Linked DNA regions of Caenorhabditis elegans. The protein of the gene in region 1 interacts with the protein of each later gene in a pairwise test. Each region holds a gene or a part of one and is shown on either strand. Other genes may lie near its edges.

The links.
Region 2: the proteins of hpo-10 (region 1) and gopc-1 interact in a two-hybrid assay, tested with the Caenorhabditis elegans proteins (one large-scale study listed by BioGRID).

Annotation. Positions count from the first base shown.
Region 1 is NC_003281.10:5,877,656-5,883,191, reverse strand, and holds hpo-10 (SAC3/GANP/THP3 conserved domain-containing protein), read right to left. Parts: upstream 3,687-5,536; 5' UTR 3,582-3,686; coding exon 3,577-3,581; intron 3,367-3,576; exon of another isoform or gene 3,348-3,366; coding exon 3,263-3,347; intron 3,214-3,262; coding exon 2,714-3,213; intron 2,645-2,713; coding exon 2,263-2,644; intron 2,140-2,262; coding exon 2,008-2,139; intron 1,962-2,007; coding exon 1,818-1,961; intron 1,764-1,817; coding exon 1,302-1,763; intron 1,251-1,301; coding exon 1,020-1,250; 3' UTR 762-1,019; downstream 1-761. Other genes in the region: F01F1.14 (uncharacterized protein), read left to right, coding at 269-401, 449-502, 547-761; F01F1.2 (COX assembly mitochondrial protein), read right to left, coding at 3,976-4,117, 4,163-4,256, 4,328-4,432, 4,489-4,633; mig-21 (Abnormal cell migration protein 21), read left to right, coding at 4,940-5,104, 5,154-5,398, 5,443-5,536.
Region 2 is NC_003279.8:14,184,962-14,190,924, reverse strand, and holds gopc-1 (Golgi-associated PDZ and coiled-coil motif-containing protein), read left to right. Parts: upstream 1-1,957; 5' UTR 1,958-2,029; coding exon 2,030-2,128; intron 2,129-2,631; coding exon 2,632-2,730; intron 2,731-2,794; coding exon 2,795-2,905; intron 2,906-2,951; coding exon 2,952-3,272; intron 3,273-3,332; coding exon 3,333-3,466; intron 3,467-3,524; coding exon 3,525-3,663; intron 3,664-4,075; coding exon 4,076-4,240; intron 4,241-4,288; coding exon 4,289-4,389; intron 4,390-4,988; coding exon 4,989-5,064; 3' UTR 5,065-5,297; downstream 5,298-5,963. Other genes in the region: ZK849.1 (PDZ domain-containing protein), read left to right, coding at 5,330-5,407, 5,901-5,963.

The DNA.
Region 1 (5,536 bases):
GCGTGACCCCGTTAAGAACCACACTCAGAAAACGTTTACAGCCTTAGTTTTGACATGTGATGGAATTTTCTAGAAACAAAAACATTTTTCAGATTGCAAGATTCCGATTCCATTGTTCACATGAACTTCGTACATTCTGCACCCATTTCTACAAATTCTCTTCCTTCAAATGTTCGATCTTTTCTCTTCCAATATCATTCATAACCGGTCGTGTCTCAACTAAAAAGTACAAAATTTTGTTTTCCATCTAAATTCACATCCGATCAAAATGGGGTGGATCATTTCATTTCATCTCTTCAAATCAAAAAAAAAATATAAAAAGTGTGAAAACAGTCCAGAAAGTAATAAGAATCCTAAAAAGATGTCTACTTCTTCCAACTCCTTCCTTATCACTGTTATCGGTAACTTTTCCATCATTCAATCACAAAATGATCAACTTCTTTTCCAGCATTCTTCGTCATGATTAATGTAGTTGTTACACTTCCGCTCATTGGAATTCGAGGTATTTAAATTGAAATTGTATTGTTAAATTCTTGAAATTTCTAGATGATCTCTCAACCGAATTCGTTGGTATTGGCCTCCGTGACGATGTGGCACTTCCCATACAAAAGCGCCGAGTTTCTCAAGAATCCCAATTCTGTGCTACACATCGAGAATCATATGATACCTACTGCAACAACTTTTGGACAGATCGTCCACAACGACTTCAAACCGCTTTGTTCACATTTTGCCCTGGATATGAAAACAAATGCCTTCACTAATTACTATTTTACATTTTTATTCTTAACACGCATGACTGCCTGAAAATCTCAGTTTCAACAATGGAAAACATATTTTACGGTTACAAAAACAAATAAATGTTATAGAGCTCTATTCTAATTTTGCATTTTTAAACATTTTACCAGCAACACAATTAAAAAAGTGGATATCAACAGTTAGTTGGCTACCGAAGAAGTATCACACAAGGATCGGGACGAGGGGATTGAGAATGGGATGAAATTGTTAAAACAAAAAATTATTCAAATGTTTCTTGGGATTTTTGGATCAAATGTTCCTCCAACTTCGACATCAGTCCATTTCAGTTCCTCCTCGAGCCAATCAATAAGTGTCGACTCCTTCATACTCAGAAACTCCGCAATCAATTTGTACGTGATTGTTGGTCGGAAAGCTTTTGTGATAATTCCGAGTGCCTTCTTTCTCTCTCGATCAACAAATAAATCCATTATGTACGGGCACATTCGTGGAGCATTCTGCAAATTGGAATTTATAAAGAGTTAAAAATTGTCAAATTCACAACTTGCCTTAAAAAGCCTGAAGAACTTGACATAATTATTCATAGTCACAGCTTTTCGAACATTCAATGCAAATTCAACACAGTCATTCTCCTTCAATTCCGGCGTTAGCTCACGGAGCAGCGCGTTGATATCAATTTGATTGTCCATAGCAATGTAGTACAACAGACGATAAGCTACAAACTCTGCCTGATTCGCGCAATTCTCAATTTCCGAGTAGAGAAGTTTCAACTGCGACTGGCACTTGTTAAACTCTTCTCGATCCGCGTTTTCAAGCGAAATTCTAGCATTTATTTCATAGACTTCGACTGTAAACTCGTTGCGAATCACTTGAACCGTCAAGTCTTGGCGAATCGATCTCATTTGACTTGTCAGATAGGAATACTCTGCTCTCGCACGATATTTGTCACGTACATTTTGAAGAGAAAGGCGCAAAACTTCCAGTGGCCGAACCTCCGATGGATTTGGAGCCTGGAATAAGCTTGGGTTTAATGATGCTGAAAAATGAAACCTATATAAACTTACAGCTGTCAATCTGAAGAAGGATTTCTCAATATTCTGGCAAGTTCCACGAATCACTTGTCCTCGTCTGAAATAGTGCTGAGGCACACTCACAGATGGCTTCGAAACATTGTACAAAGTTTCGGCAAAACGACGAGCACGATCTTCCTGTAAATACTTCGAGAAAATGAAAAATTCAGTTAATCCAACTTACCCTCCGAGCCTCAGTATCCCCTCCAGCTACCTTCCAAGCATTCTTGACTTTTTGCGGAGTTTGTTGTTTCTGCAGTTTCTTAGCCGCCTTTCTCGCTGCCTTTTCAGCCTTTTTCTGAGCCTTTGTCTTTTTCTGAATGGAATTAGTCACATTTAGTAATTTTAAAGATCTATTATAAGTATGAATTTCAGCAGAACTACTCAAGTTTCCGTGCCCAAATACACCACCCAGTTCCCTATCTAATTTTATCGAAACCTGATTCATAGAAGAAAAGTGCATTTTCTCAAGGGGATCGCTATTGTCAGAATCAGAAGATGCCCCATCACTATCCCGACGAGCCCGTTTCATTTGTCCTCCACCACCAGCGGCACCGCTGTTAGACATTTCATCACTACGCCGTCGCGATGGCGACTTTTTTCTATTAAATCCATTAGCCTGATGTGGAAGCTTATTAGCTGGCGTCCACGCTGGAGCTAGCTCATAATTTTTCTCGTGGGGCAACGGTTCATTGTCCCAGTTGACCATGTGAGCATTGCCTGCGTTCAACATAGGGAAAAGTCTCTTCTGAAGGTATTCTTGAGTTTTTTGACGATCTTCGACAGTGTTCGCCGCCTCGAAAGCACGTTCCATGTACCGTCTGAAAAAATAGAATGTTGAATAATTTTGCAACAATAAAAACAAAGATGATAATTAATTGAAAACTTACTGGGCTGATGGAGGTGGTGGCTTGGCTGGTCCTGGAGCTGGAACACCGCGTCCTCTACCAACTCCCATCAATGGCTGTGGACCTCCGCCCTGCGGTACGAACGTGCTAGTTAGATGCGGAAATGCGGACGAATTATTCTTTCTGTTCAAGGCAAATGGCTGAAACTGCTGAGGTCTCTGTTGCTGATTCCAGTTGTTGGCTCCTCCGCCACGCCCTCTTCCGTACCCGTTATTCCAATTCTGTGGTGGTGGTGGTGGTGCATAATTAAAAGATGCTTGGTTATAAGCTGCTTGAGCAGTTGCATTCACCGCCGACTGTTGTGGTGGTGGTGGTGGGACAATCGGTCCGCTGCCCCACGTGGATGGATGAAAACCACCACCGAATTGACCGTAAGCGGATGGGGGATTTGGGAACGAAAACGAGTTGTTCATCCAAGAGTTCTGACCTGTATTGTTGTTACCATTCGATGCATTCAGTCCTTTCGACATTCCACCTTGAATCTGAAATATTACAAATTGAAACAACTGTTCATATGAAATATTTACAAACCTTCATTAATGCTTCATTCGCTTTTTTCCAAGCTTCGGAATTTGCTCCTGTCTCCATTGGCACTGGAATTGACATAACTTCTTCTCTGTAAAGAAAAAGAAGAACTGAAGGAGATTAGGAAAAATCAATAATATTCGACAAAAAAAGTTCACGTCGAAAAGTTAATTCCAAATTAGCATTTATTTAGTACTTTAGTTTGAAAAAATGGTGCTGCCTACTTTTTTAAATAGCAACTATTTAATTTTTAGTTATTTTTGTGCGAAACATATCGACTTCGAACATCACATTCAGAATTAAAAAAGAAAATAACGAACCCCATATCTGAAATAGAACAGACAGAAATAACTATTTAGCAGAAAATTTTCAATTTTGCGTACAACGTTAAAAGAGTAAAATCAATAAAGTTTAACGGACCAGCGTTTTCGTAGTTTACTGGCAACTAAACAGAGCGCGTATCGATTTTCAACGGAGCGTCGTTGCACTATTATATTCTCTGGCAAAAATAAAATGTAAAGTGAAAGAATAATTCATGAATTAACGAGTTTTTGGAAATAATATTTTTAGAATGAAGAAATGGTAAGAATATGAGATAATATATAGTGACTCGAACACTTGACAATAATAACTATAAAAAGTATAAAAACCAGAAGAAATGGATTGTATTTGATTCTACAAACAAGGAAACAATTAACTATGAAAAACAAGAAAGAATTCTACTTTTGCTCATTTGTCTTCTTCCAATCCCGAAACTCTTCAATTTTCCGTTGCTGCGATGTCATTCCAGTAGCTCGAGCTGCCGATCGTTCCGCAATGTACTCGTCAGTCATTTTTGCTCGGAAGGCTGGATCGTGGAATCTTAATATGTTCTTGTTATTTTGAGATACATTAAAATAACCAGACTTTTCATATTTGCATCGATTAAAGAGTTCTAGAGCTGGTTTACACGTGTTCAAGCCAGAAACAGCACCGTCGGTTCGAAAGCAAGTGATGAGTCCTGAAATTGTTGTAGAAATAGAACTCTATATAATCGTGCTTTTATTTTTATGATTTCAATAATTCACAAACCTAAATAAGATTCGTTGCAATCCACTCTTTCGATTTGGGTATTCATTCTATTCGGAATAATCACATCTGCCTCGATTTTCCTCAAAGTCCGATCTTCTGGATCACCTGAAAACAAATATTGTATTTAAATGGTAAAAACCGCAAGCTGATTTAAAAATTACCTAATCCATGTGGTCCTCCAGCTGAATAATGTGGCATAATATTTTTCTTGACACGATATTTCTTCCCGGTCTTCTCGTCTGTCACAATTTCGCCTTCCTTTAAGGTTTCCAGGTTATCAGTGATATTCACTTTATTTTCCGTCATTCTAGCTGTAAATTTGAAAATTTATAAATGGAAATTTCAAGAGAAATCATGAGATTTACTAGTTTTAAAAGTTAAAATGATAGCGCCCGAGAAACAAAAAAAAAAGATCTTTGCCGTCTCTTATCTCTCACGCGTAGCAATGGAGCGCGACTCTAACACTGCAAAAAGTGAAATTTTCTACAGTAACCCTGCCATCTGGCGACATCTGAAAGATGGAAAAGGAGAAGGAATGTCGAAATCTGAAAAGAGAAACAAACATGGGTGTAGAAATTTCACTTATTCAGTAAGAACTGAGTTTCATAGAAAATGATTGTCATGGTTTTGTTTAATATCTTCGTTTTCGTCAATTTCTCATATTCGTTGGCTAATTTAAATGATTCTAGCATTTTATATTCTCAAGTTGTCTCTAATAAGTGTGCATCTAATAATGGTATATTCTGTGAATGTTCGAAACAAGGCGGAGAAATTAAGGTTCTACATTCAAAAAGATAAAAACCAATTCAATAAAATTTTGATGCAGATTTGGAATTGCATCCGTCCAGGAGGTTGGTCAACGTGGTCAAAATGGTCGAAATGTAGAGAAGGTATCCGAAAAAGAAGACGAACGTGTAATAATCCTTTACCAATTGGTACCACTTGTTCTGGCCAGAAAGTTGAGAAGCAATCTTGTGCAATTTCTTCAAATGTACCGGAGTATCTTTTTGGATCCTGGACATCCTGGAATCCATGGTCTCGATGCGATTGTGATCGTAGCCTGAGGATACGGTAGGTTCAAACAATTGGGAAATGTACAGTAACCCAAGTTTCAGAACTCGGCACTGCAAAGGTAATTCCTGCGAGGGATGTGACAAGGATTACGAAGATTGCCGCCCAGATGAGTGTCCAATTAGTAAAAAATGGTCC
Region 2 (5,963 bases), on another chromosome or scaffold:
AAATGTAAGTTTATTTTTAAGTTTCAAAATTATATTTCAAGCCCGACGGGCTCCAGAATGCTGAATTTTGTTCCAGATATTCTTTGGAATTTAACTAGGCTTGTAGTGAAGTCCCGTAAGCTTGTGGCTCTAATAAAAAGGGACCGTAGAGAAGCCCAGATATTTAAAATCTAAAGGGAAACTGTTTGACCAGAAGATTAGAGCCCAGTTGTCTTAGATTAGCCTAGTAAAAGTCCGGAAGCCCAGAACTCTCAAAATAATTACGAGCACCTGTAGCCCACAAGTGCCTAATTTCTGACTGTCAAGCTTGTCGACCCGTACTGTCAAGGAACTTTGTCCAAGCTCAGCTAGGCCCGTTCAAGCCCACATGACTGTAAACGCATTGGGATTAGAAGCCAGGATAGGATATACCATGATCCAATGCACCATGACCCCACGGAACCAGATAGTGCCTCCATTTACCATAATGTACAAAAAAAATTCAGCCTTCTGATGGTCCCGTCATACTTTTAGGCAAGCTTGGGCTCTCAAATGAGCACAAAATCCCAAAATCCCACTTTGTTTTCAACTCATTAGACGTTGAAAAAATGGAAAAATCAAGCTTCCTCCATTAAAAACCAATTCCAAAAAGGCGACTCCAAATTGAATTAGCTTTGCGCAGAGAGCATGCAGAGGAAGTCGTTCAGATGAATAGTGGTCAATATAAAGGAAGCGGGGATAATAATTATCGGATACTTTTCAACTACTACCGCTTGTTAGTGTTCGGCTAGTAATAGAAGTGCCAAAAAATCGTCGAGTGGAATTATAGCGTGTTAGGTCGTAAGGGGTAGAAACTCAAAGAAGGTGGATTCCTTTTAAAAAAAACCTTAAAATCTTGTTAGATCGGAGTAGCTTCATCTTAGGTTGGAGTAAAAATTCCACATTCTCAGGCCGGACTAGAAACCCCATAGGTCGAACTAGAAGCCTAATAGGTCGGACAAGGACTCTGCGGAGTATAACCCCCTAGTTCGGTAAAGAATAATCTTAGGTCAAAACAGTATCACTTTAGGTCGGAGTAGAATCCGCTTAGGTCAAAGTAAAATCTCGAAATCTTAGATCGGAGTAGAATTCTAAAATCTCAGGTCGGGGTAAAGTTTTTTAGGCCGGGGCAGAGTCTCAAACTTTTAGGTTTAGGGAGAACCCCTTGGGGTTGAAGTAAAATTTCATTAGGTCAAAGTAGGCTCCCTTTAGGCCGGTGTAGATCCTAGAGCTCCTAGATCGGAGTAGATTTCTAAAGTCTTAGGTCGGAGTAGAACCTCAAAAGTTAGATCGGAATAGGACCCTAAAAACATTAGATCGGAGTAGATTTCTAAAATCTTGGGCCGGAGTAAAGTTCTTTTGGATCGGAGCAGAGCGTCCTTGGGTTGAAGTAGAATCTCATTAGGTCAAGGAAGGGCCTAGAGTAGATCCTAGAACTCCTAGATCGGAGTAGATTTCTAAAGTCTTAGGTCGGACTAGAACCCCGTTAAGTCAAAGTAAAACCCTATTAGGTCGGATCAAAACCATTCAGGTCTACTTAGCACCTATAGGTCAGTGTAGAACACCCATAGGTCGGAGTAAAACCCCCAATTTCGTAGTTAAAGTAATTATCGTATACTTTTCAACTGTGCAACAAAGAGGGAACAAAAATGCGAAAAACTTTTGATTTGGTGTGAAAGTATACCCATTGACACACACACACATGAAGCTCCCGGAATTGGGGTCCCTCCTCTCTTTTTCTTCGTCCTCTTCCACTCTCTCTCTCTACCATTCCCACCCCATTTTTTTTCTTAAAAACGAGCGAGGCATCTTCTTATTCCTCACAGAGCCCCCCGACGCCTTTCTCTAGAAAAGACGGGAAGAAAACGACAATTGGATTATCCGGTGTCCCCCGACGGCTCTTTTCCACCCTATTCCAACAAACACACACACACACACACCCAGTTCTCCACACATATCATCATCATCATCATCATCATCATCACCCCGAAACTAGTGTTTTACTAAAAAAATGAGCCATTGTGCGGCTTGCTCTGGCGCCAGGCTTCAGGCCCAGACTGTGCTTAGGGTGGACCCGGAGTCTGAGTATTTTGAGTGTGAAGCTTCTGCGGTGAGTGATTTGGGCTTTCTAGGTTCTAAGCCTAGTCAAGCCCGGCTTTTTTATCCTCTTGGTTTGAGTCTACCAAGCCTAGCTAAACCCGGATCCTTGATCCATCCGTTCTTGGAAACCAATAATTCGAATTAGATTTCCCATTGACTAGCCTAGACTTATGAAGCCTATCATTGTTGAGCTAAACTAGGCCCGGTACCTTGAAACTTCCCGCCTAGTCTGAAACGACAACTGACTGGACCGGGCCCTTTTCAGCTTAGCCTGAATCATATTTATCCAAGTATTTGCCCATTTAGGCCCGAATTTTTGGTCCGATCAGCTTATCTTATTCCTTATTCCAAATCAGGGCTCTTTTCACAACAGTTTGCTCAGCTAGGCCATATAAGCCAGAGCCGTCAAATTTTCTAATGACTAGCCGGGATCCTTGATCCTTTCAACTCAGCCAAACTTTGATCGGAACCCTGCCCTCCCCTTGATTACCCCTAAAACCTCAAAATTTCCAGATGGAAGGTGGCTCAGGATGGACAGAATCATTGGAGAAAGACTTCGACAAAGCATTCGTCTCACTGGATCTCCTGCTAGGAGAAGTCGACTCGGACCAGGTAAGAGCTTAGAACTTCAGGCCACCTGATCAAGCCCAGGTCCACAAAATCCTAACGTATCCAGGTTGAGATCACCTACGAGGGCCGGCAGAAGATGACGTCATTGAGCGCCTGCTTTGCACAAATGATGCACAAGTGTCAGTTCATGATGCACACAATTAGTAAACAGGAGAAGGTGAGTTTAGGCTTGCTGAAAAAAGTTGGATTGTTAATTTTTTCAGGAAATGATAACAATGCGCGCCGAGGTCGTGGAAGCCCGCGCCGCTCGACAGAGCATGGAGAAGGAAGTGGAGCAGTTGATGATCCAAGTTCACTCATTACAATGCCAACTGCATTCCAAGACGGCGCCGCATGAGTCAGACATGATTAAGAAGAAGCTGGAGACCCAGCTGACACAGTTTCGATCAGAGCTTACACAGGGTTTGAGCACGGTTTGTGAGCTGGAAATTGCAAGAAAGGAGTGTGATCGGTCAAAACGGACGATTCAGGCCTTGGAGACTGAGGTCTTCGGGGCCAGGCTGGCGGCAAAGTACCTGGATAAGGTAGGCCATCGGGCTTTAAGGCTTTAAGGCTTCAAGGCTTTACATACCCTAATCTTCCAGGAACTCGCAGGCCGGATACAACAAATCCAGCTCCTGGGACGAAACATGCGCGGCGTGGAGCACGACAGGCTCTGGAACCAGCTGGAAGCCGAAATTCACCTCCACAGGCACAAGACAGTGATCCGGGCTTGCAGGTAGGCGGTCACGTTTCCCATGGCCGCTCCCCACTTGAACAATTTGCCATTCTTGCAGAGGACGGGGTAACACGAAGGGATTAACGGCGCCACTTCGTCACAACTTCAAGAGCCTCCGAAAACGAAATGGAGTGGGAAAGAGCAGGAAAGTGGTGCTCTCGAAACACCCGCACGAAGGGCTCGGCATTTCTATTACGGTAGGTGGGGGGACTTGGATGGTTTTGGGCCAGTAGATCATTGACTAGACTTGTTCCTTTGGGGATCCACGGGATCCTGTAAGATCTGAGAGTTGATCCAGTTCCCGTAAGACCAAATGTGCCATCTGATTATGAGGTACTTTTGCACGTGGTGTCAGGCTGTCCCATTGCGGTTTGATCTACAAAAAATGCGGGAATTTTTCTCCCAGTCAGTTGAAAAGTCTGCGTCTCTTTTCCCGCATTTTTTGTAGATCAATGTAGATCAATCTAAAATGAGACACTCTGACAACCCCTGCTTTTGTAGTTCTGCTGCATAGCTCAAAACTACTCCAGATAGTTTGCGGAGCTCCGGATGGATCCTAGTTCTTCAAGATCTTAAAAAATCCTACTGGATCCTAAAATCCATTTCCAGGGAGGATCCGAACACGCTCTACCCATAGTGATATCTGAAATCCAGCCGGGACAGCCTGCTGACCGATGTGGACAGGTCTTTGTGGGCGACGCGATTCTCTCAGTAAACGGCTACGATCTTCGGACTGTCAAGCATCAGGAGGCAGTGGATATTTTGAGTGGGCAGGTAAGATGCTGCCAGGGGCCCTCCACCTACATCCCCTCCAAATTCCAGGTACAGCAAGGCGACCTAGACCTGGAGCTCGTCTTTGTGTGCCCCGATGAGGATAGTGATGATGATGGGACGGTGACGATCGAGCACAGCGATGGATCTATGTGAGTTATTGGGAATTTTTCGGCGGGAAATTTGAATTTCCAGTTAGTTTTTAGCGGGAAATTTAAATATTCAATCGATTTTCAGCTGGAAATTTTGATTTTCTGTTAATTTTTGGCGGGATTTTCATATTGCCAGTTAATTTTAGGCGGGATTTTTAAATTTCCAATTGATTTTGAGCTAGAAATTCAAGTTATAAGTCAGTTTTAGGGAGGAAATTCAAATTCTCAGTTAACATTTAACTGGAAATTTAATTTTTTAGTTAATTTTTCAACTGGAAAATCAAAATTTTGGTCATTTTTCAATAGAAAATTCAAATTTTTTGTCGTTTTACTATAGGAAATTCAAATTTTTAGTCAATTTGCGACAAAAAATTCTAAATTTTCTGTCTATTTTCGGCAAGAAATTCAATTTTTCAGCCTATTTTTTGGGGGAAATTCAACTTTTTAATGAATTTTTCGGCGGGGAATTCCAATTTTTTGTCGTTTTTCTATAGGAAATTCAACCTTTTAGTTAATTTTTCGACGGGAAATTCAAATTTTCGGCCAAATTTCAACAGAAAATTCGAATTCCCAGTCAAATTTTTAAATTTTTGTTTTAGCTACAACCTCTACAGTATGGAAGAGCCCACGTCAAGCCGATCGTCCAACAATTCTGATGAATCACGCAGCACGTGACCTCCAAAATGTGGAATTTTTTGACGGGTTTTATTTAATTTTTTTTTCAAAAAAAAAACTTTTTTTTGTATATTTTCCCGTGACTTTCCTCCTCCCCCTAATTGCCACGTCATTTCCTCCAACTCATTGGATTTTTTTTTGGCTTTTTCCAACTTTTTGCATAAAAATCTTTTATTGTTTGAGTTTATCGATTTTTCTTCCGCAAAAAAATCAATAAATGACGTGTCAACAAATCAATCGTCTTACTGCTGTCTTCAATACGGCAATGTCCAAGGCGCTGGCTTCCGATGAGAAGGACGACTGGATTACCCATTTGAAGGCAATTTCGAATGTTTTTACGCAGGTAATATGATCTTCCGGTCGGGCGGGAATTTGAAAATTCTGGGAGAAATATTGATTTTTTGGAAAAATGTCAGTTTTCCGGCAAATGTCATTCAAAAAATTATTGATTTTTCGTCGCACTCCAACGACACTCCGATATTCCGCTGACTAAAAGTAGGCGTGGTCAGGCGGGAATTTAAAAATTTCGCTTTGAAAATCAGTAAGAAATCATCGATTTTTGTGAAAATTGTTAGCTATCCGGCTCGAAATATCGAAAAACGGTTTGAATTTTGTTTAGTATAAAGTTTCTTTAAAATCCCGGTCGGGCGGTAGTTTAAAAATTTTAGAAAAAATCGATAATGTATCGACTTTTCGGTATCCCGGTACAAAACTGTGGCGGGAATTTGAAAAGTTTCCAATAGTTACTTCAAAACTCCTTTTTCTCGGTTATTGAAAACTTGGCAATGACGAGAAAAATCGATAATTTATTAATTTATCACAAACTATTTTTCCAGGTTTGCACTTTGTCCGCCAGTGAAGAATCCGCTAAGAAATTGGCAATCAAGGAGCGTGAGGAG